3 linked regions of the Notamacropus eugenii genome follow. The protein of the gene in region 1 purifies or fractionates together with the protein of each later gene. This does not show direct contact. Links are inferred from orthologs where the notes say so. Each region holds a gene or a part of one and is shown in the gene's direction. Other genes may lie near its edges.

Evidence for each region. Proteins that work in one complex are often made in the same cells at the same time.
Region 2: the proteins of DNAJC7 (region 1) and BLTP2 purify together in Homo sapiens (co-immunoprecipitation; 3 studies listed by BioGRID and IntAct, counting the BioPlex papers as one, with this or other methods). This does not show direct contact. The link is inferred for Notamacropus eugenii from reciprocal best matches to the Homo sapiens genes DNAJC7 and BLTP2.
Region 3: the proteins of DNAJC7 (region 1) and DNAJB1 purify together in Homo sapiens (affinity purification with mass spectrometry; 3 studies listed by BioGRID and IntAct, with this or other methods). This does not show direct contact. The link is inferred for Notamacropus eugenii from reciprocal best matches to the Homo sapiens genes DNAJC7 and DNAJB1.

What each region holds. Positions count from the first base shown.
Region 1 is NC_092873.1:358,507,375-358,514,507, reverse strand, and holds the start of DNAJC7 (dnaJ homolog subfamily C member 7), read left to right. Parts: upstream 1-3,922; 5' UTR 3,923-4,015; coding exon 4,016-4,101; intron 4,102-7,019; exon of another isoform or gene 7,020-7,133. Other genes in the region: NKIRAS2 (NF-kappa-B inhibitor-interacting Ras-like protein 2), read right to left, coding at 78-319, 1,016-1,109. UniProt on the Homo sapiens protein: Acts as a co-chaperone regulating the molecular chaperones HSP70 and HSP90 in folding of steroid receptors, such as the glucocorticoid receptor and the progesterone receptor.
Region 2 is NC_092873.1:36,056,361-36,063,875, reverse strand, and holds the start of BLTP2 (bridge-like lipid transfer protein family member 2), read left to right. Parts: upstream 1-4,326; 5' UTR 4,327-4,427; coding exon 4,428-4,495; intron 4,496-5,482; coding exon 5,483-5,612; intron 5,613-7,515. UniProt on the Homo sapiens protein: Tube-forming lipid transport protein which binds to phosphatidylinositols and affects phosphatidylinositol-4,5-bisphosphate (PtdIns-4,5-P2) distribution.
Region 3 is NC_092875.1:76,444,258-76,451,946, forward strand, and holds the start of DNAJB1 (dnaJ homolog subfamily B member 1), read left to right. Parts: upstream 1-4,500; 5' UTR 4,501-4,658; coding exon 4,659-4,869; intron 4,870-6,336; coding exon 6,337-6,917; intron 6,918-7,337; coding exon 7,338-7,568; 3' UTR 7,569-7,689. UniProt on the Homo sapiens protein: Interacts with HSP70 and can stimulate its ATPase activity. Stimulates the association between HSC70 and HIP. Negatively regulates heat shock-induced HSF1 transcriptional activity during the attenuation and recovery phase period of the heat shock response.

The sequences.
Region 1 (7,133 bases):
TATTCTTAAAACTGTCTTCATTACTAAGGTGGTTTGAAAGACTGGGACTGAGTTGTGTAGGATGGGGTGATTCATACCTCCTTCTTGTCTTTCGATTTATCAATCTCTTTCTTAAGTAGTTCGACTTTCTGGAAGGACTCTCGGCTGTTAGTGCTGTAGACTAGGACATAGCCATCTGTACAGGAGAAACAGTGCTTGGGAAGTTCTGCCCCATCTCGAAGGCCACGGGTGTCATAGAATCTCACCTGCTCCCGCACACCTCGGTCAGTCTCGATTGAACCCACATAGATGTCTTCCTGGGTTTCAATCATCTCAGAACCTGGAATGGGATGAGTTTATTTGTTTTTTTGGACAGGAGTGAGTAAAACTGGGTATTTCCTGAGAGCCCAACTAGGGCTTTCTTCAAGCTGGGGGTAACTTAGGTGTGAGAAAAGGTGAAAAAATAAGGATTAGGGGAGCTACTGAAGACTATAAGGTAAGGATGAGGGGATCATTAAAAATCATTTTAGTATACTCTGATATTAAATTAGTGATAGGGACTGGGCCTGTGACTTCATTGGAATAGGGAACTCTCAGGTGAGGAAACTCCCTCTACCAATTTCAGTCTGATGTAACTTCTCTGCAACTGTTAGAAAAGTTGTTCAGAGCACTAAAAGATTAAATAAGTTACCCAAGGTCCCACTCCATGTCAGAGGTAAGACTAAACCTAGCGTTTCCCGGTTCTGAGGTCAGCCCTCATGTCAATTCTGACATGCCATAATGCCTCCTGACACATAATTAGCAATGTGCAAATACCCTGCTTTTCTTTCTACTCCATTTTCAAACCCTGGGCTTTCTTCCTTTGACTCCATTGCAAGGGCTGATTCCATATATGATGTTGTCTTGTATATGTGCTTCTACATCCATAGAACTGGTCCTTGGGCTGTGCTTGTGCGTGGACTATAGATCTAACGCCCCCTTCCCTCCTCCATTGTTCTCCCCCTTTCACACCCTTTCCCAAAATCCCAGCACTTACCCACTACATGGTTACCATACAACAGCTGTTCTAGGATGGAGGTCTTCCCCACCGAAGCCTGGCCACACACAACCACTTTGCAGCTCTTCCCCATGGATAGACCTCCACTTTGGGGAGGAGACAGGCTACACTGAGATGGAGAACAGGGGAGAGGAGGAGACACAACAGGGGAGGGACGATCAAAAGGGGATGCCTTGAGAACCCAAGTTCTGAATTTGACACATAATCCCTGGGGATTAGGACTCTTCACAACATTAGGATGATGGGTTTGTAGGTGGGAAGGAATTGAGAGATGAGGTGTACTGTGACCTTCAGGGATAGGTCCCTCTCTCTGGGTATTAGGATATAGAAGGGACCATCTGCTAAGGCCACAATATCTATAGATCTCAGCCTTCATCTTCCTTTCAATGTAAAAGAAAAAATGATCCCAAAGTCAATTGTCTGGCTAGGCTGGACTGATTGAGGACTTGGCAGACATTAGGGTTAAGCCCAAGAAAGGAATGCTTTCTATGAGAACCACTCCATCTTGCTCCCTAGAGCCTGCCAGACCAGCAATGTAGAGCAATGGCACGGAGAGAAGCTAGTCAAGATTAAAGAAGCCAAAGCTGAAAGGATTGGAGGGGGCTTTCAGTGTGTGTTGGCAGATTGCAGGGGCTGCTGAGATATGCCATGAAAGGTTAAACTCAGAGATACCTCCAAGGAGAGGCTCTCAGACACAGTAAGGGGTCCATGGACACAAAGAGAAAGACCAGAGACAGGCTCCTAGACAAAGAAGAGTCCCATGGAGGCAGTTTCTAAGGTACGTCCCATATGTAAATCTATGATCCCGTAGTGGAACCAGAGAGACCCCCAAAGAGAAAAATCTAGGTAAAGAGATTAAAGGGGAAGAAAACTCCAGGGCCCTTAGGTGACAGAATCATGAGTTTATTTAAGAAGTGTCTCATTGGAGCTGAGCAGCAGGCCATGGTCAAGGTCCAGAAGAGAAATCCAAATGATCAAGAAGACCCTATGTCCTGTTCTTTGACTCCCATTACCACTCTGCCAGGAGAGAGCAGTAGCTGCTCTCTGAGCCCCATTTGTCCCTGTGGTCTATGGTCCTGGGATGCTGCACCCACCCCTCCACCCAGGATGCCCAGGGCACCCTGGAGCAAGCTAAGAACAGAGGCTACCTACCTATTGGGGGTCTCTCCTAGGGTAAATGTCCCTAAGTACAGCAGCAGCTGATGCCGACAGAGGCAACTTCCCACTTCCTTCCTTGACCTCCCAGTCATCCCCACCCTCCTACATCCGGTGAACCCGCAAGAGAAGCCCAGGCAAGCAAAAGGATGGCGAAGAAGCAACACAGCTCCCTCTAGAGCCATGGCGCCAGGAATGAGGTGGAAGTCATCTGGACCAAGCTGTGATTGAGGGGATCAAAGATCTTTTCCCTCTAGAGAACTGATGCTGAGGGTTTTTTTCCCTAAAAGGGAAGGGAGAGGATGGTCAACAAATTTCCGAGGCTCTTAACACCAAAAGGACAAGAGTGAGAGTCTGGGACCAGTCTGGAGGCCCTGGCAATCTCAAGGTCAAGGATATGGGGTAGAGGATGTACTAATCTCTCATTCCCCTTAATTTGTTTGCAGAACTGTACAAGTTGATTAGGATTCACTCATCCATTCAACCAAGCATTTATTAAATACCTCTCATTAGCTACCTACTATTGAATACCCCCAGAAGGAATTGTAGATGGAAAAAAAAATAGAAATCGTCACTGCCCTGGAGAAGTATATAGTATATTGAGGAGTGGAGAGAAGTATGTACACAGTCTATACAAAGTAATTTCTGTGTGGAGAGTACTAGTTAGTAACTGGAGGGGTGTGGGGAATTAGAGTAGGCTTCCTCTAGGAGTTGACACCTGAGTTGAAACTTAAATCAGGAATTCTATGAGGATCCTAGATTTTAGAGCTGGAAGGACACTGGGTGGAGAGAGCACCTACTCCAACTCCATCTTTCTGCCAAATGAGACATAAAGGTCACACAAGGGATTTAGTGGCAAAACTAGTTCTCAACCCTGAGCCTTTCCAAAGCTCTTTCCTCCACATAATGTGGTTCATTTCATTGAATGCTGAACTCGCTGAATTCATTCAGCTGGATGCGGGCCAACCAACCCCCCAATGAAGTCAACTAGCATCTATAAAGGGCCTAGATGCACCAGGCTAAGCGCTGGGGCCCTGCTCCCGGGGGCTCCCAGTCAGTCCGTGCATCCCCGTCCTCAAGTGCGTCATACAGTTTGGGGGCGCCATCAGTCGCGCTTCAAACCAGGTGGATTTACAGGCGTTTCTGTTACTTTAAATCTTGACCCCATGGATGACTGCCCACTGTGGGGTGGTGCACGCTGGGTGGGGACAGCCGTTGGGATGGGGCAGGGGCGTGGGGGTCCCCCATAAAGCACGGGTGGCACCCCCGGGCGGCCCACATGAAAGGCTGCCCATAAAACAGGTCGGAGCGTCGTGAGGGGGAGGCCCCCGCCGCGCCCGGGGATCCCGGGCGGGGATGAAAGGAGCGGGCCGCGTTCCCCCCGCTTGGCTGGGCAGGGCCCCGGAGGCCAGCCCCCCAGCTGGCCGGCCTCCCGGAGCCCCTCCAGTCGCCTGGTCTCTCGCGCCCAGCCCAGGGAGCAGAACGCCAGGGCGTTGCCATGGCGACAGGGCCCTCGGAACCCTGAGGCCGAGCGCGCGGCCGCGCCCGCGACAAGCACGGATCCCCGCTCGGCGCCCCGCACGCTCGTCCAAGCTGGCTCCCCCGATGAGCCGGGGCCGCCTGTGGGCCCGCACTGCGGCCCCAGCGCCCCGACGCGGCCCGGCCCCGCTCTGGCAGCCCGCGCGCCCTCCCGCCGGCCGGCGAGCCCGAGAGAGCCTCTCTGGGCGCGCCCAGGCCGCCGCGGCGCCGCCGCTCGTTGCTCCTGCGCCCGGAAGTGCTCCTTACCGCCCGCCCCCCACCCGGCTCCCCAGCCCTGGCGGTAAGATGGCGGCGGCCGCGGAGTGCGATGTGGTAATGGCGGCGGCGGCCGAACCCGAGCCCGAGCTGCCCGACGACGAGGAAGCCCGGAGGTAACGAGGGCGCCGGCGGGCCCCGGGGAGGGGGCGGGAGCGGGCCCCGGCTCCTGGGGTGGGGAGGCCGCCACCCCCACCCCTCCCAGCCCGACTGGGCCCTGTCCTCGCGCGGCTGGGGAGGGGGGAGCGGGAGTCATGATCCGGGCTGCCGTGACCCCCCCCCCCCCGCGGCTCCCCGAGGTGTTGGGAAGGGGGGGGGAGCCCTAACCCAGAGCCTCCGGACGCCCGCAGCCACAGCCGGGCCCCGCAGCTTTTGCTGTGTGACCTTGGGCGAGCCCCTTGGCCTCTCTGGGTCTCGACGTCCAGCTCTTCATAGGGGGTTGGGGGGGGTTCGGGGTGGAGGCCCCCTCCCCGCACGCTGCTCCTCCCCCTTTCCTCAGCCCCGCCGGGTGCCCGCCCCTCCACCGGCGAGGTGATCCCGCGCTGCCCATTCATGCCCCGGCCCCCTGCCTTGCTCCGTGGTGTTACGTTCTGGACGGATCGGGCGGGGGGCACCGATCCCTTCTGCCCGCCCTTCCACCAGTGTCCTGGGGCTCAGGCAGCGGCAGGGGCCCGAGAGGACCAGCCCCGGCCTCCGCCGCCCCCCGGGAGGTCTTTCTGGGAAGGCCCGGATCCCTGCTACGTTGTTGAGGGCTGTTATTTGAACTGCCTTCCCCCTGCTGTGACTCTCAGTCAGAGCCCCGTTTGGGATGCTTCTAGGCTGTGGGCTGGACTCCGGTGCCCCTGCCTGTGACCCAGGCCCTGGCCGTAAGCGTACCTTCAGTGGGGTCAGTTTAATATTTAGCCCTTCTTAAATTTTCACTCGGATCAAAGGATGGCCAAAGTTCACACCCTGAGATTTCGATGTGATGGCAGACACCGAAGCACCTGCGAGCAGTTTAACTCTACTCAGGGCCCAGGTACCATAGTGGGAAAGGACCCCCCAAGGCTGGCCTCAGTCCTGTCCTCTAGTCAGCTGAGAAGTTAGAATAAACGTGATCCATTCTTCTAAGGAATTGCAAAGTGGGAAGCAGTAGTCCATAGGCCTTCCTCCTAACTGTACACCGACCCAGCCCTCCATGATTAACTAAGTTTAACCAGGTCAGAATGGAAGTTTGGAGATTCAGTGCTGAAAATGAGATGGGGCTGAAGAGTTCAGCATCCTAGGAGGTTGTCTTCCTATTTATACAAGTTTCACCCTCTCTCCTCCCAGTCACCTGTATCTCCCTCTCATCCATATTGGAGAACAGGAACTGGGGACATTCCCTAGAAATCTCCTTTTGCATGCTGACGTAGCCACTTTCCTGACTGGTCGGGGTCAGTTCACTTGGGAACAAAGTGGGAAACATCCCTTGGGCTGATTTTGTGAGGCTGTGTTTGTGTATATGGATGTGCTGGGTATGTCCACTGGGGCCAGGCACTCCTTTGGCTCAAGGAAAAGGTTATCTTTTCATCATTGCCACCTGTCTTTGCTGCTGAGCTAGCACTGTCCCAGCAGGGGGCAAAGTAAGGGTTTTCTAGAATTCTCTGGTGTCTAGGCATCAATAGTTGTCATGTTTAAAATGGGCATTAGGTTTCATTTTCTTAACCAGGTCTCCAAGGGAAAATGAAACTACTTATTTTGTGCTCTGTCCTTCTGGCAGTGTTCTTTTTTTCCTGAAGAAGCGGAAATGAAAGCTATTTTAGTCCGAAAGGCTAATATCTGCTATAGAATAGACTGAGATTCTACGCAGAGATTCTTGGTTCCTCTTGCCTCTAGAAGAGCTTCATCGTATTAGGAATCAAGGAGCTGATAACGTAGCTTAAAATTCTAGTGGTTCACGTTCTCAGGTTCACATTTTCCTATAGAATACAAGCATTATCTTCGTGACTGCTTGAGTGGGCTACCCATGTTGACATCCCGCCTACCCTGAGGGCTCTGTGGTAAAGCAGCATAGCTGTTGTTTGATGCCTCTAGGGATGTACAGCAGATTGGCTTCTATAGGAGGTATTATAAGGGTAAGTCTGGGCTTTGAGTTGTTCCTTCTCTTCCTTATTAAAGAATAGATTCTTGTTTACACACATCTGAAAGTCAGTGGTCATTTAAACAGCTTCCTTCACCTACAGGGCCTCTAGAGTCCCTTCTGGTTCCAAATCTGTGAACCTGAGCAGGGAGAAATGAGGAGAGTTATGTCCTTAAGAATCACTGTACCTGGATTTGTTTCACCAAGCCAGTCATCATACTAGTGACTTCATCTTACTGAGAGCAAATAAATTATTTAACTGCCTCAAAAAGCGATCATGAAAGACTTTCAGTTGCTCCATAGCAATGTCGAACAGGAACAGTCTATAATATTTGTGTGTGTATACACATACATGTATATGTATATATACAGACGTTTTGATATTATGTGTGTGTATGTATACACTCATACCTATGTAACAATATAATGCTCCTGTTCAATTTATTGCTGAATGGAAACTGAAAGTTTTTCATGCCTGCTTCAGATAGTATGTTGTATAACACACACACACACACACACACACACACACACACAGAATTTATATTTATAAAGAGTATTCAGACTCCACTTCTGTTTGTCTGTGTAGTGAGACTGGAACTAAAGATAAATGAATAAAAGCTCACGGGAACATCAGTGAGGTTTGTGGGAGGGATAGACCCCTAGGAGTCCTGAACCCTGAATAGCAACAAATTATTTGAACTTACTTACTTTAAAGTTCCGGAATTGCTGAAAATGATTACATTAAAAAAAATAGACCACACACTCAAGACCTTCCCCTTCTCCTTCTCTACATCACCTCATAGACCCATACATAGGATAAAGCAAATAATTTTTGATGAATGTTGGGCCAGTTGACTGGCAGTTGCTCAGGTCCATTCCCAACCACCAGCACTCCGATTGGCTTAAAGGCCAACCCTATTGTGTGTTCTGACCAATCAGAAACCAGTTTATTCATAGAAGGGACCGTTTTTTTTAAAAGTAGATCTGAGTACTGGGCACTTGGGGAGCCAGCTGGTTTTCCTGTTCCTGGACTTAGGTTCGGAGAAT
Region 2 (7,515 bases), about 320 Mb from region 1:
AAATATGGGAGTTATTGCCAGTGGTGGGACTGATCTTTTCATCCATTTAGAACAAATAAAAGTGGAAGAAATAATAAAAGAAACATCTCTCAGAGATGGGAGATTCCCCTCATTTGGATGCTTTGTCATAATAATCCGTTATTATGGATTTCAGTCTCCAATATATGCTTTTTCTCAGGAGAAATAAAAATTTGATTCTCAGTCTTTAAGTGGTCGTTTAATTAGGAGTCACACTTCAGATAGGGTTGTTTACTGCTGTAAGGCTTTTGAAATTACTAGGGATTCTCAGCTATTGACCTTGTAAGGTCTTCTTTTTCCTTAACTTCAAACTCATGCCCATTGGCTAGAAGTCCAAATCCTTATGGATGATAACCTCCAATTGGTTTGCCTTAATGGTGTTTTGTATAAAAAATTGAGACCTAGTTTCTGGGTAATTAATCATTGCTCGTGGATAATTAATAAAAGAGATCAGTGGTACTATAGAATGCCAAAGACCCCTCATGGAACCCACTCAATATGTCCTTGCAAGAGTTGGTGTTCCCTGAGGGTGTCAATCAACTGGAATTGATTAACAATTAATGAGAAGAATGAATACTATAGTGAGAGGTGAATTCATCCTAAGGAGGAGCTGGGGGACATGACTCTGCTCACTCTTGCTCCCAGACCACTCCCAGCCTCAGGCAATCTAGACAAAGGATCTACCCCCCACCCAAGCCTAAGTAGAACACCACTGGCCCAAATTCACCTTAAGACTAAATTCTTCTTAAGGGTCTCTAGGTGGGTGGGGCAACAATTCCAAGATTTCATCTAACTGCCCTTCAGAGAACTACGTTTTGACCTACCCTCCAAATGAGGAAGGGAAAAAATCCTGGCCCTTCCCAATACTAATAATTAGTTATTTAATAATAATTTCAATAGTTAGTGAATTGCTGCAGCCTGGACCCACAATTGTTGATAAGTTCAGTAGTCATACGTTTATCTACTTCCCTGACCAAACTGGGCAAATGCCAAGTATTTGAAGGTGATCATATGACTTCGGTTTGGGAACAAATAGTCATTTCTTGTCTTCAGCCTCCCTCATAATCCCAAAGCAAGTGGCTTCTGGGATGTTGGACTTCTTCATTCCACTGCATTCCAGAAGTGTGATGGGGGTGGAAGGGAGGTGGCTGCCATCTGTTGGGATTCCAAGGGATACAGTTAGACACTTTATTTTAGGATGGCTTTTTTCCACTCACTCATTTTGCAGCCTTTCCATTTTACTTGGAGAATGTGAACTCTGTGCCCGATCTCCCCGTCTGAGATGTTAAGATTTGGTCCCTTTCCCAGTGACACAATCCAGTAAGATATCATAGTGAGAACTTCACTAGAACAACTTTAGAAGTTCTGATTTACAGAAAATCTTCCCATTTCTCCAGTTTAACTGTCCAGATCTTCTGGGAAGAAAAGTCTTGAGAGAGAAGGGTCAAATGTAACAGGATATTATAGAGAAGAGACAGCAACCAAAGGAATGATTGGAGAAAAGGAAGCAAGAGTGGACTGGAAAAGCAAAGGCAGAGCTAACTAAACAAGTGACCAGCTGGCTAGAAGAGGAAGGGGGAGGAAGAATAGATTGCAAGTGAGGAGGCAAAGTGCCAGAAAAGTGGGGAGGGATCAGAGGGACAGCTGAGCTGCCTCTGCCTGTTTTACCAGGAATCAGTAACTGGACACAAAACTTGTTAGAGGGCTGATAATAGAACAGGAGAATGTACTATCAGGGGAAACTATCAGAGGGAAATGCTTTTGGATAAGACAGTGGATATTTATAGAAAAGAGGCTAGCCCACAAAACAGTGTCCCCATCATGCTCCTCTTTGAGCTCTTGGTACTCGCTGCAGTCAGGCACTTGAATATATTTACCCAGGAATTAAACTCGGCTTATTTCATCTATGTCTATTATGATTTCTCAGTGATTCCTGAAGGGCATGAACCAGAGCCCCTACTTCGTACCCTCCACACTATGTAATGCCATGCTGTGCACAAGGATGCTTAACATCTTGTGAGTGAACAGAATTTGAAGAATTCACTTAGTTCCATCAACAACAGCTGGCCAGAATAAGATACTCCCCAGAGTAAATGAATTAAATGCAGAGTTTGCTATCTCTATTTTGATACTTTGAATGACTCAAAGCTTCATCGGTGTTTCTCTTTCAAAGTGAAGACCACAACCCCCTCCAGGCTTTCTCATCCTTTATGTCCAAATTCTCCACAGCTGATTAACAGATCCATCCAGCAAGCTACAAACATTCCTAGGCAAGTAGGTTCTCCACGACTGATGAACAGATCCATCCAGCATGCTACAAACACTCCTAGGTAACTAGGTTCTTCATAGCTGATGAACAGATCCATCCAGCATACTACAAACATTCCTAGGCAAGTAGGTTCTCCATGACTGATGAACAGATCCATCCAGCATGCTACAAACACTCCTAGGTAACTAGGTTCTTCATAGCTGATGAACAGATCCATCCAGCGTGCTACAAACACTCCTAGGTAACTAGGTTCTTCATAGCTGATGAACAGATCCATCCAGCGTGCTACAAACACTCCTAGGTTACTAGGTTCTTCATAGCTGATGAACAGATCCATCCAGCGTGCTACAAACACTCCTAGGTAACTAGGTTCTTCATAGCTGATGAACAGATCCATCCAGCGTGCTACAAACACTCCTAGGTAACTAGGTTCTTCATAGCTGATGAACAGATCCATCCAGCGTGCTACAAACACTCCTAGGTAACTAGGTTCTTCATAGCTGATGAACAGATCCATCCAGCATGCTACAAACATTCCTAAGCAAGTAGGTTCTCCATGACTGATGAACAGATCCATCCAGCATGCTACAAACACTCCTAGGTAACTAGGTTCTTCATAGCTGATGAACAGATCCATCCAGCGTGCTACAAACACTCCTAGGTAACTAGGTTCTTCATAGCTGATGAACAGATCCATCCAGCGTGCTACAAACACTCCTAGGTTACTAGGTTCTTCATAGCTGATGAACAGATCCATCCAGCGTGCTACAAACACTCCTAGGTTACTAGGTTCTTCATAGCTGATGAACAGATCCATCCAGCGTGCTACAAACACTCCTAGGTAACTAGGTTCTTCATAGCTGATGAACAGATCCATCCAGCGTGCTACAAACACTCCTAGGTAACTAGGTTCTTCATAGCTGATGAACAGATCCATCCAGCGTGCTACAAACACTCCTAGGTAACTAGGTGGCCCAGTGGATAGAGTGCTAGACTAGAAGACACAGACACCTGGGTGCAAATGCAGCTTCAGATCCAAAGTGACCCTGGGCAAGTCATTTAAGCTTCGTTTCAGTTTCTTCCTAGGCAAAATGGCGGTGACAACAGCACCTCCCCCCACTGTGGTGACGACGCTAACCTTATAAAGGGTCACATAAAATGCCTTGTGGGGTTTTTTTGGTGGTTTCGTTTTTTCTATCCGGAAGATGCCAGTTGGGCTGTCCAGCTTATATATGTTGTCTCATTTCTTTTTCCTCGGATGGAGAAAAAAGATGAGGAGACTAGGATGGTACAATCCAACTTGTACCCAGAGGCAGAAACCGGAGCAGGAGGCAGAAGATCCTGGGTCGGTTCGGACCCTTCCGCTGCCCTCCTAGCGCAGGGCCAAGGGTGGCCCCAGCCCCTCAAACGTTACGCCAGGACCCCCAGGGGGCCCCGAGACGCCCGGCTCCCCGCTGAGTAACGTGAGCTCGCCCTAGAACTTGGGACCGGGAGAGCCGGGAGGCTCCCGTCCCCCACGGCCGCCGGACGAGGCAGGAATGCCAAGGCCGCCATCCTGCAGGGGGGGGGCCAGGGCACCCAGGGGCTTGGCCCACGGCCGGGCTAGCGCAGGGCATCGCCACCCCTTTGACCTCGGGGTGCTTCCCCCTCCCCTAGCCGGCCAAAGCGAGGGGCTGGAGCCCACCTCTAAGGCCGCTTTTTGGGACTCGCCCTCGGGGCCGGCGGAGGGCTAGCGAGCCGTGCAGGCCCGAGCGGAGGTCCGGCAGAACCTGCCGGCCGGGGGCTGGCGGGGAAAGAGGCGGGGCCGGAACTCTGGTTAGGGGGCGGGGCTAGAAGGAGGGACGTGTCTCCTCTTGGCTCTGGCCTCGGAGCCTCGAGCAGGGAAGCCGAGGCTGAGGGGGCGGGCGGGGCAAGGGAGAGGAGCGCGTTCTGGCTCCGCCCCCTTCCGCCTCCCTCGCGCTTTCGCTCGTTCGCGGCGGGCGCCGCGGGGGGGAGGGTTGGGAGGCGCCGGGCCGGGCCTGGGCGGAGCTCGCGGCGTCTCCTCCTCGCGCCGTCCCCCGCGCAGGCGGCTAGTCGGCCCTCGGAGCCTCCGCACGGAACTCGCGGGGGCCGGGCCGGGGCCGGGGCCGCGGGGGCCGCTATGTCTCTGCTCTTGGCCGTGCTGCTGGCCTTGCTCGTGGCTGTGCTCTGCACCCTCTTCTTCTGCCGGTGAGGGGCCGCTGGGGCTGAGAGAGGGGCGAGGGGGCCGCGGGAGCGCGCGCGGAGGGAGGGGCCGGGCGGCGGGGGCGCGCGCGGAGGAGGGGCCGGGCGGCGGGGGCGCGCGGGCTGGGGAGGGGCTCCAGGGAAAGGGGAGGACCCGTGGGCTGTGGGAGGGGAGCCCCTGGTTTGGTGCTCTGGGTTCCGGGTGACCTTGGGCAAGTCCCCCGCCCCTACAGACCTTGGCACCGCCTGCCGCGTCCGGGTGCTGCCCTCCTCCTCCGCCTCAGTTTCCTCTGCTGCACTGCAGGGGTCACTGGGCCCCTTGCCCACCTCCCGGGCTCGCCCTCCCCTCCCCCAAGCCCACGCAGCCTTCCCTCTCGCCCCTTTTCTGGGGGGAGTACCTGGTCCATCTCGCCCTTGCCTGGCCCCGACCACCCCCAGGCCGCCCTTGGGTGGCCCCAGAGCGGCGGGGTCCTCCCTTCCAGGGAGGCTGTGGTCCCTTTTTCCGCGTGCAGCCTGAGTTCTAACGGTGGGCCGGGAGCAGGGGGGAGTTCCCCAGTCCACCTCGGAGGGCTGGGGGGAGATCTGGGGAGCCCTGAATCCACTGGTTTTCTCAGGGCGATGGGAGCATGGGGGCCCCTCACCTAGACCCTGGGTCTGGAGGCCAGACCCCTGAGGCGCTGGGGCTCCAGAGCCAGAAGTCTGTCACTTCACAGCCGAGGAAACTGAGGCTCAGAGAGGTTGCCCAGATAGTCAGTGGCACAGCAGGATCATCGAGTCCCCCCTCATTTCACCGGGGCATTCCCAGAGTTGCCCCCGTAGCAAGTGCCTGAAGCAGGATGGCTCTTTGGGCTGGACCCACCAGGAGGGGAAGGAGAAAATAGAAACTTTGGGGAAGCCTAGTCCACAGACCAGAACACTCATGAGATCCTTCTGCCAGCCCACATGTCTGCAGAGTCCCACAGACACCTAGTGCTCACCAGCATCTTTTGGCAGGTGGCTTCTGATTCGATTGGCCACCAAGTGGTGTCATCGAAGTCTCCAAGCCGAGCTCAAGATAGGCTCCTTCGGCTTCTTCTGGATCCAGAACGTTAGTCTGAAGTTTGAGCAGCACGAGCAAACAGTGGTGAGTCCGAGGGAATTCCCTGAATCACCAGGTGGAGGGGAAACCCAGCTGAAATCAGCAGTGGCCAAGAATGTTTTGCCTTGTCCACAATGATGTCCTGTTGTTTCCTACAATTCTAATGATTTTTTTTAAATTATTTTTTAATGTTTAACAATCACTGCCATACAATTGCGATTTTATCCCCCCCACCTACCCCCCACTACCCCCCTCCCTCCCCACGACTGCATACAATTCTGTATAGATTCTACATATACTTTCCTATTGAGTATATTTTCACTATAGTCATGCTATGTAGTCAGACTAAGATAAATGAAAGAAATCGTATAACAAATCAGAACATGATACACAAACACATACACATACACAGACATGATCTGCTACATTTTGTGAGTGACTTCCATATTTCTTTCTCTGAGTGTGGAAGGCAGTTTGCCTTGAGAACCACCTTTGGGATTTTTTTTTTTATAAGAAGTTTTTGCGTTATTACAAAATTCCAAGTCTACCAGAAAAAACTCTCACACACTGTGGTCGTTGCTGTGCACAAAGTTCTCCTGGTTCTGCTCCTTTCACTCAGCATCAGGTCATATAAGTCCTTCCAGGCCTCTCTGAAGTCTTCTTGTTCATCATTTCTTATGGCACAATAGTACTCCATTACATTCATATACCATAATTTATTCAGCCATTCCCCAATTGATGGACATCCCCTTGACTTCCAGTTTTTGGCAACTACATAGAGTGCTGCTATAAATATTTTTGTACATGTGGGACCCTTTCCCATTTTTATGATCTCTTGGGGATATAGTCCTAGTAGCGATATTGCTGGGTCAAAGGGTATGCACATTTTTGTAGCCCTTTGGGCATAGTTCCAAATTGCTCTCCAGAATGGTTGGATGCGCTCGCAGCTCCACCAACAATGAATTAGTGTTCCAACTCTCCCACATCCTCTCCAGCATTTATCATTTTCTTGTTCTGTCATGTTTGCCAATCTTATAGGTGTGATGTGGTACCTCAGAGTTGTTTTGATTTGCATCTCTCTAATCAATAGTGATTTAGAGCATTTTTTCATATGATTATAGATATCTTTAATTTCTTCCTCTGAAAATTGCCTGTTCATATCCTTTGACCATTTATCAATTGGGGAATGACTTGTAAATTCTAATGATTTTCAAAATATTTCATTTATTGGTACTTTTGGAATTTACTGTGGTGTGTCATAAGAGGCATCACGAGATGGTGTTCAGAGGCTTAGCTTCAAAGTCAGGATGGCCTGAGATCAGATCTTGTTTTTGACATACTGATCCTGGCCAGGTCACTGTATCCCAAGCAAACCTCTAAGACTACAACATTGTAGATGACTTGCCAGTCTGCATTAGTGAAGACAATTTCCCAATGAAATTATAGGACCAGACCAAAAAAAACCCGGTATGAGATGTGGCTCTTATCCTCTTGTTGTTTTGGCCTGTCAGTTTTTATTGGGGAAAAAAGTCCTGTCCCATTATGTTTTCTAGTTATGCACTCTGTGGCTCAGTTCCCCATTTCAGAAATGACAGAAGTGGTCAAGTATGACCTCAGAGGGCCGTTCCAGCTCTAAATCTGTCATTCCGCAAGCACACTTCTGTTAACATTCCTTTGGTTCTGTATTCTCTATTTTGTTCCATTGATCTACTTTCATAGTTTAAAAAAATTTTGATTTGACCACTACTTTTGAGATCTTTTATTTCCCCTATAATTTTCCTTGGTGGTGTCATTCCTGATAAATTTTAATCACAATCCTATGAAGCAGCTGAATGGTATTTTGATTGGAATTGCATGAAATCCATATTTTAATTTGCTTTGCTATGTTGGATTAACCTAATCATGCATACAGTTATTTAATAATCCAGCTATTTATCAACCATGGTTT
Region 3 (7,689 bases), on another chromosome or scaffold:
TAGTACTTAATTTGAGTTTTAGGTGTCAGCAGGAGGTACAGGGAAAGATGTCTAACAGGCACTTGGAGAAATAAGATTGGATCTCAGATGAGAGATTAGGACTATTTATATAAATGTTGAAATATTTTGACCAGCAACCCTAAGGTCCCTTCCTAGTTTGATTTTTTTTCTTTTTTTTTTTATCAGAGGGACCATCCCTTGATTCACTTCTTAAAGAGGCCTATTCATTATAATGGGCATTACATCACTCAAAGCAAGAACTTGAAAAGACTTTAGCTTAAAAGGGCCAAGGTCTCCCACTGCATCCTGGGCTATCTCCAGTCCTGATCTATATCTGGTCACTGGACCCAGATGGCTCTGGAGGAGAAAGTGAGGCTGGTGACTTTGCACAGCCCTCCCTCACTTGAATCAAAGTCAATTGCAAGTCATGTCATCATCTCCCTGATGTCATGGTTCTCTTTGAGGATGAAGGACAAACCACAACACGAAATAATGATTTTTTCAAAGCTTTCAAATATGTTATTTTATTTGATTATGCATCAAACATAGTCAATAAGTTTGGCAAGTATTATCTCCATTTTACAAATGAGGAAACCAAGGGATTAAATTACTTATCCAGTGTTATGTCTCTCAAGAGAAGCAGAGCCAGGATTAGAGAGCTCAATTGTCTTGACACAGATGTCATAATTTTGTTACCTGTGCCCCAGAACAGAAGCTCTGTGTTTACATGGACTAGCTTCAATATTAGGAGCTTCTCTTACTAAATATTACTCCTTTTGGCTCCTGCTTAAAATCTTTAAACTTAAGGATTTCCCTTGGGATTTGGATCATGTCTAGAATTCTCCCCACCAAAAATAAAAGGGGAAAGACCTATATAGCTCCCTTGAAAGCACTCAGGCTAACAAAACTTGGCATATAAAACAGACTTTATTTAACCCTACAGAAATTGCAGAGGACTTGTACACCAGGTCATCTACAGTCAAGACCATCATCCTTCCCTCTCCAAGATGTTTTCCCTCTCTCAGGGATCTATATATTCCTCCAAATTTATAGTACCAGCTTGGGGCAGCTAAGGTGGTGCAGTGGATAGAGCACCAGTGCAGGAGTCAGGAGGACATGAGTTCAAATCTCACCTCAGACACTTGACACTCACTAGCTGTGTGACCTTGGGCAAGTCACTTAACCCCAGTTGCCTCATCCTGGGTCATCTCCAGTCATCCTGATGAATATCTGGTCACTGGATTTAGATGGCTCTGGAGAAGAAGTGAGGCTGGTGACCTGTGCAGCCCTCCTTCACTCAAAACAAAGTCAAGTGCAAGTCATGTCATTATTTCTCTGATGGCATGGTCTTTTTCGGCAATGAAGGACACACACACACACACACACACACACACGCACACACAAATAACCACGTAGGGGTTGAGAACTTCCTCAAATGGTTAAAGTACTTAGTGTTGCTAGGGCACTAACCCCTTTACTCAAACCTGCACAGTCCACATAATTTATAGTATCAGTGAAGGGCAAAATTCATATCATGGACTTGTCCATTACCAAACCCTCTGTAATGGACCCAAAGTTGATCCAGGAACTCCACTGCTCCACCCTGCCAGGCTTTCTGGAGTTCTTCATTTGGTCCTGGAGGCCCTCTTCAGGCCACATCCTGAATGCTACAATGTTCCCTAGAGAACAAGTTTCCCTGACAAGGCTACATGGTTGCACCAACTTCACTCCAGGTAACTGGATGTTTATCCAACTAATTTTTCTCACCAATCCAACCTCTCTCCAGTTCTTCAGACTTCCCTTCAGAGGCCAGGTCCAAGGATTAGCCTAAATATATGAACTAGAAGTGAATCTTCCACAATATAGTTTAAAGGGGCAAGAACTAACCTTTTCAGAGTTCAGACCTCAATATGAGGGATTCTGAAAGTAGTGTGGTGGACAGAGTACTAGACCTGGAGTCAGAAAGGCCTGAGATACTTAGTATTTATGGCCAAGTCACTTAACCTCTAGTCTCCTCCTCTGTAAAATGAGGATTATCATAGCACCTACTTCAGAGACTTCTTTTTGAAGGTCAAATAAGATAATATCTGTAAAGTACTTTGGCAAGCCTTCAAGTGATTTATAAATGCCTACTGGTGTTACTGTTGTCCTCCTGAGGTACGCCTTTCCACTGAAAAGGGGTAAAAGCTTCTAAATCAGAGGTTGGAGAGATCTCAGGTTTTTATTCTTTACTTACTACTTTTATGAGCCTGAGCAAGTCATTCATCCTCTCTGGACCTCAGTTTTCTCATCTTTCAAATGAAGGCTGGACTAAATGAACTAAATAGCATAATCCTGATTCTTCAACAAATTCAGAAAAGCAATATGTGGAGCAAAGTGCACTAAAGATGGAATCAGGACCTGGGTTTGAGTCTGGTTCAGATGTTTCCCAGTTGGGTGAGAGGGGTCAAATTCTTTTTTCTCTATGAAGAGAAAAAGTCATTGCATAGAAATGGAACTGAGTACTGTGATGGAGATTGGGAGGATCAAGGGAATCAGCTCCAGGATGCTCTCCCTCAAATATTTGTTGAATCGGAATCCTATTGTATGTAGTCCTTCCAAGTCACCCATATTCTCACCCTTACAGTCATTCCCAGTTTGTTCCCCTCTTTCACCCTTCATATCCAGTCAGTTGCAGATATGAATTCCCACCTATAGATTCATCCAAGCTACAAGCTATCCACCCATTACCACATGCCTTACCTACTTCAATAGCCTCCCTAATTGCTCTCTCCCTGCCTTTCTCCTTTCTTTCTCCTTTCTGCAATTCTTCCTCCACACCATTGCCAAATTCTGTCCTAATGAACAGGTCTGACCATGTCTCTTACCTGCTTGAGATGTTTCATAAGTTCCTTATTGTCATAGGATAAAATGCAGACTCCTGTGGCCCTTCACAGGCTCCAGCTTACATTTCTAAACTGATTTCACCTCTTTCTCTCCCCCCACCCCCAATTCTAACCAGATTCAACTATTTGATGATGTTCTCTTAATAGACATGTCTACTTTCCTGCTTCTGCAACAAGCTGTCTCCCAGGCAAGAAATTCTGTCCCTTGTCCCTTCTACATTTAAAAATCTCAGACTTCCTTCAGTGCTCAGCCTTAGCGCCACTTCCTACCAAAAAAATAAAACTTTTTTAATGCCCCCACTTTATTGTTATTTTGTATATATTTTGCATTTACTTCTCTACCTTATTCTCTTCCCCTCCACTTCAATAGCATGGAAGCTCCTAGAGGGCAGAGACTGTTTGCTTTTTTGTCTATGCCTGGCACACAGTAAGCACTTAATAAGTAAACAAGCATTTATTAAATGCCTACTATGTGCCAGGCTGTGTTAAGCCCTGATGATACAAAAACAGCCCTCCTTCTCAAGGAGAGACAACATGCCAACAACGATATACAAAAAGCTATAATACAAGATAAATTGTAGGTAACAAATAGAGGGGAATGTACTAGTTTTAAGGGGGATTGGGAAGGGCTTCCTGTAGAAGATGGGATTTTAATTGGAACTTGAAAGAAGCCAGAAAAGGTGAAGAGAAGAGAGTATTCTAGGCCTGGGGGACAGCCAGAGAAAATGTTCTGAGCTGAGAGATGGAGTGTCTTGTTTGTGGATCAAAGAGAGTATATGGTTAGTGGTTCAGGACACAAAGTGTTAAAAAAAAAAACATGGAAAGGTGAGGAAGGGAGTTAGATTCTGAAGAACTTTAAACGCCAGAGGATTTTCTATTTGATACTGAAAGTGACAGGGAACGACAGGGTGTGTGACATAGTCAGATCTGAGCTTTAGGAAGGTCGCTTTTGCAGTTGAATTGAGTGAAGATGATATTGGAGTGGAGAGAGACTTGAGGCAGACCCACCAGTCCGGGTGATGGGCTTGCACCAAGGTGGTGGCAGTGTCAGAGGAGAAAAACTGAATACTATTAGAAAAAGCTCCGAATTTGGAGTGGGAAAAGGCAGATTCTTCTTCCTTCTGCCACTTACTAGACACTTTTAAGACAGCAAACATTTATTAAAGGTTTTCTGTCTGTTAGGAGGAGACAAAAAATAAGCCCAGAATTAACGATCTTGCCTTCTCCAAGCCTCAGTTTCTTTTTCTATTCAAGGAGATCTGATCAGATCACCAGTCTCTTTCAGCTCTCTTAAAAGCCAGGATCTAGGACTGAAACCCAGACAAAGGGGCGGGACAGCCTGGCCGAGGGGCGGGGCTTGCTCTGATCCTCAGGTGTGGGCAGAGCACTGAGACTGAGTCTTCGACACCCTGGAAAAATAGAAATTCCAGGAGGGCGGGGCAGTGGGGGCGGGGCTGGTTGAACTAGGTGAGGGTCCCAGAAGGCCGCGGGAGAACTGACTCGCGCTCGGTGGGGGGCGGGGGCGTTGCAAAAGGGAGGAGCAAAGAAGGCGGAGGAGTGCGTCTCGAGCCCGCAACCGTTGACGATCCTACCCCGCCCCAGGGTCACGTGTTGCGATTCGGCCGCCCAGGATTGGGCAGTGCGGCGCGAGGGGCGGAGCGGAAGGTTCTGGAGAGGGCTGGCGGGCTCTGGAAGCTTCCGCCGGGCGGGTATATAGCGTCCGGGCCGGGGCGGCGGCGGAGCCGTAAGGACGGCGGCGGGAGGGTGGGGGTCATGGGTAAGGATTACTACCAGACGCTGGGCCTGGCCCGGGGCGCCTCGGACGAAGAGATCAAGCGAGCCTACCGCCGGCAAGCGCTGCGCTACCACCCGGACAAGAACAAGGAGCCGGGCGCCGAGGAGAAGTTCAAGGAGATCGCCGAGGCCTACGACGTGCTCAGCGACCCGCGCAAGAGGGACATCTTCGACCGCTACGGGGAGGAGGGTGAGTCAGGGGCCCGCGGAAGTGGGAGCAGGCTCATCCAGGAGAGGCCCGGGCGGCGCTGCAGGAGGCCGCCCCCGGAAAACCAGGAGCCGCCGGGCCCAGGGGACGGCGCTCGCGGCGAGGCCTGGCTCCTGCGAGCCTGCGCCGTCAGCCCGGAGCCTCCCTCCCGGGGGACGGGGAACCTCTGACGTTTGCTCGCCCCCTGCTCGCCTCCGGGGCCTGCTGTGGGTTTTGCAATGAGCAAGAGTTACTTTTTCCCTCCTCGTCCCCGGTGGGGCTGCTGGCCCCCCGACCCCCGTACCCATTGGCTACACTGCCCTGCATTCCGATTGGCAGCCTTTCGATGAGAGGTGGAGACCTGGCTGGCTCAGCAGCTGGCTGTCATGTCCGCAGAACCTTCTAGCATGTTTGTTAGTCATTCCCCGAGAGAAGTTAGACCAGAGGCAGGGAGATCTTAAGGTTTTACTGTGGGCCTTCCCCAGCCTGTGGGTGTGAGCAAAGCATCTACTAGTATGTTAGGCGGGGTCTACTTTTCCTCCCCACGCCTTAGCAAACTTGTTTGATGACTTCCCTTAGCTCCATTCCCCTGGAGGATATATTGGAAATGCACCTCCTTTGCTTTCACATGAGAATATTAATGATGGCTGAAGTCAACTCCTGAATCCAGTAGTTAACCTGGGGACATTTCCCTACCTTATTCCAGTAAGAAAAAGATGTAGATGTCTTGGATGTGAAACATATCACAATCAGGAATTGCAGAGCTGAGGCTCGGGCTAGTTGAAGAGTGCTTTGAAAAAGGGGGGATGGGGATTTTTTTCCAACTCTAGTAACATTGTTTTCCCAAGCATTTTATAGACCTTAAAAGCACAGGGGAAAGGTTTTAAAATACTTATGTGGTAGTCAAGGCTCAAAAGGCATCGGGATCAAATAGTAGCCATTCTTTAAAAGGGCTAACTATAAGCAACTGAAAATAGCATATTTTGCCATTTAGAAAGAAGGCTCATACAGAGCTCAACAGAAGTCTTAGTGAATACTTAAGCTAGTAGAGCTTAAAATTGCATTAAAACTTTTGGGATACCTTGTATATCTTGACCTCAAGGAGTAACCAGCTGAAATCTAGACAAGAATAGAAGTTAATAACACTCTGTTAAATTCTTCCTTATTTCTCAGGTTAGCACTAAAATACGGTCCAGCAATTTCCCTCACAGACTAGGCAGCCCAAGGCTAGGATGCAAAAATCTAGCATCTTCATCCTATTGATAGCTAACATACTGTCTGTCTTGAAATAAGATCATGTCTAAATAGGAAAAATAGGAGTATAGAAAGTGGGGCAAAAAAACAATGCTTTCTATTTGTCTAATGATGCCCAAGTTCTCTCTCCTTGACTGGGGAAGAAGAAGGAGTTCTAGAGCAAGAAGAGCTATTTTCTTTGGCCAACAATTTGAATTCTCGTTTTTCCTTTTTCAGGACTGAAGGGTGGTGGCCCTAGTAGTGGTAGCAGTGTTGGTCCTAACGGTGCTTCCTTCAGCTACACTTTCCATGGGGACCCTCATGCCATGTTTGCTGAGTTCTTTGGTGGCCGAAACCCTTTTGACACCTTTTTTGGTCAACGAAACGGGGAAGAAGGCATGGATGTTGATGACCCATTTTCTGGCTTCCCAATGGGCATGGGTGCCTTTACCAATATGAACTTTAACCGACCTCGTCCAGCCCAGGAACACAGCCGCCGAAAACAGGATCCCCCGGTTACCCACGATCTCCGGGTCTCACTTGAGGAGATCTATAGTGGTTGTACCAAAAAGATGAAGATCTCCCACAAGCGGCTTAACCCCGATGGGAAGAGCATCCGCAATGAGGACAAGATCCTGACCATTGAAGTGAAAAGAGGGTGGAAAGAGGGGACCAAGATTACCTTCCCAAAAGAGGGGGACCAAACCTCAACCAACATTCCAGCTGACATTGTCTTTGTTTTAAAGGACAAGCCACACAACATATTTAAGAGAGATGGGTCTGATGTGATTTACCCAGCAAGGATCACCCTCCGTGAGGTAAGGCAGGATCTTTATAGACATACAGCTGTGGTTTATAGTAACGGGATTCTGGACTTCAGTGACCTTAGAGAAAGAGACTTGTGGCTTGAAAGTAACCATCAGTAATGAAACCCAGGTCTTTTTATTCTAAGTTTAGTATACTGTCTGTATCTACTATGCTCCCTTGCTGGAGACATAAACATCTCTCAGCACAATCTAGAGAGGAATCACATGTTTTGATTGCCTGTATGTGGTTAGTCATGCAGATCTGTGCCACACTTTCTGGAAACAGTACAGGGGTTCATATAAGACAAGTTGAAGGGAAAGCTAGTCATCCTTACCCAGTCAAAATCTTTGTAAGCCCTAGAATCTGTCTTTAGAGAAGAATTCTCTCCCTCTTAGTTGTTCATCTATTTAATTATATGCCTTTGCTTTTAGGCCCTGTGTGGCTGTACAGTGAATGTCCCAACGCTGGATGGCAGGACCATACCGATAGTGTTCAAGGATGTCATCAGGCCCGGAATGAGGCGAAAGGTGCCTGGAGAAGGCCTTCCCCTCCCCAAAACACCAGAGAAACGTGGGGACCTCATTATTGAGTTTGAAGTGAATTTTCCTGACAGAATTCCCCAGTCTTCAAGAACCGTCCTGGAGCAGATCCTGCCTATATAGCAATCTCTGCTCCCCAAGGACTGAACCAAGGACATTTCCAAAGCTCAAGGTTTTCTGGACCATCTCCAACAGTTGTGGGCCCCCAGGGTGGGAGGGACCACAGAGGGTTTTCATATGCTGA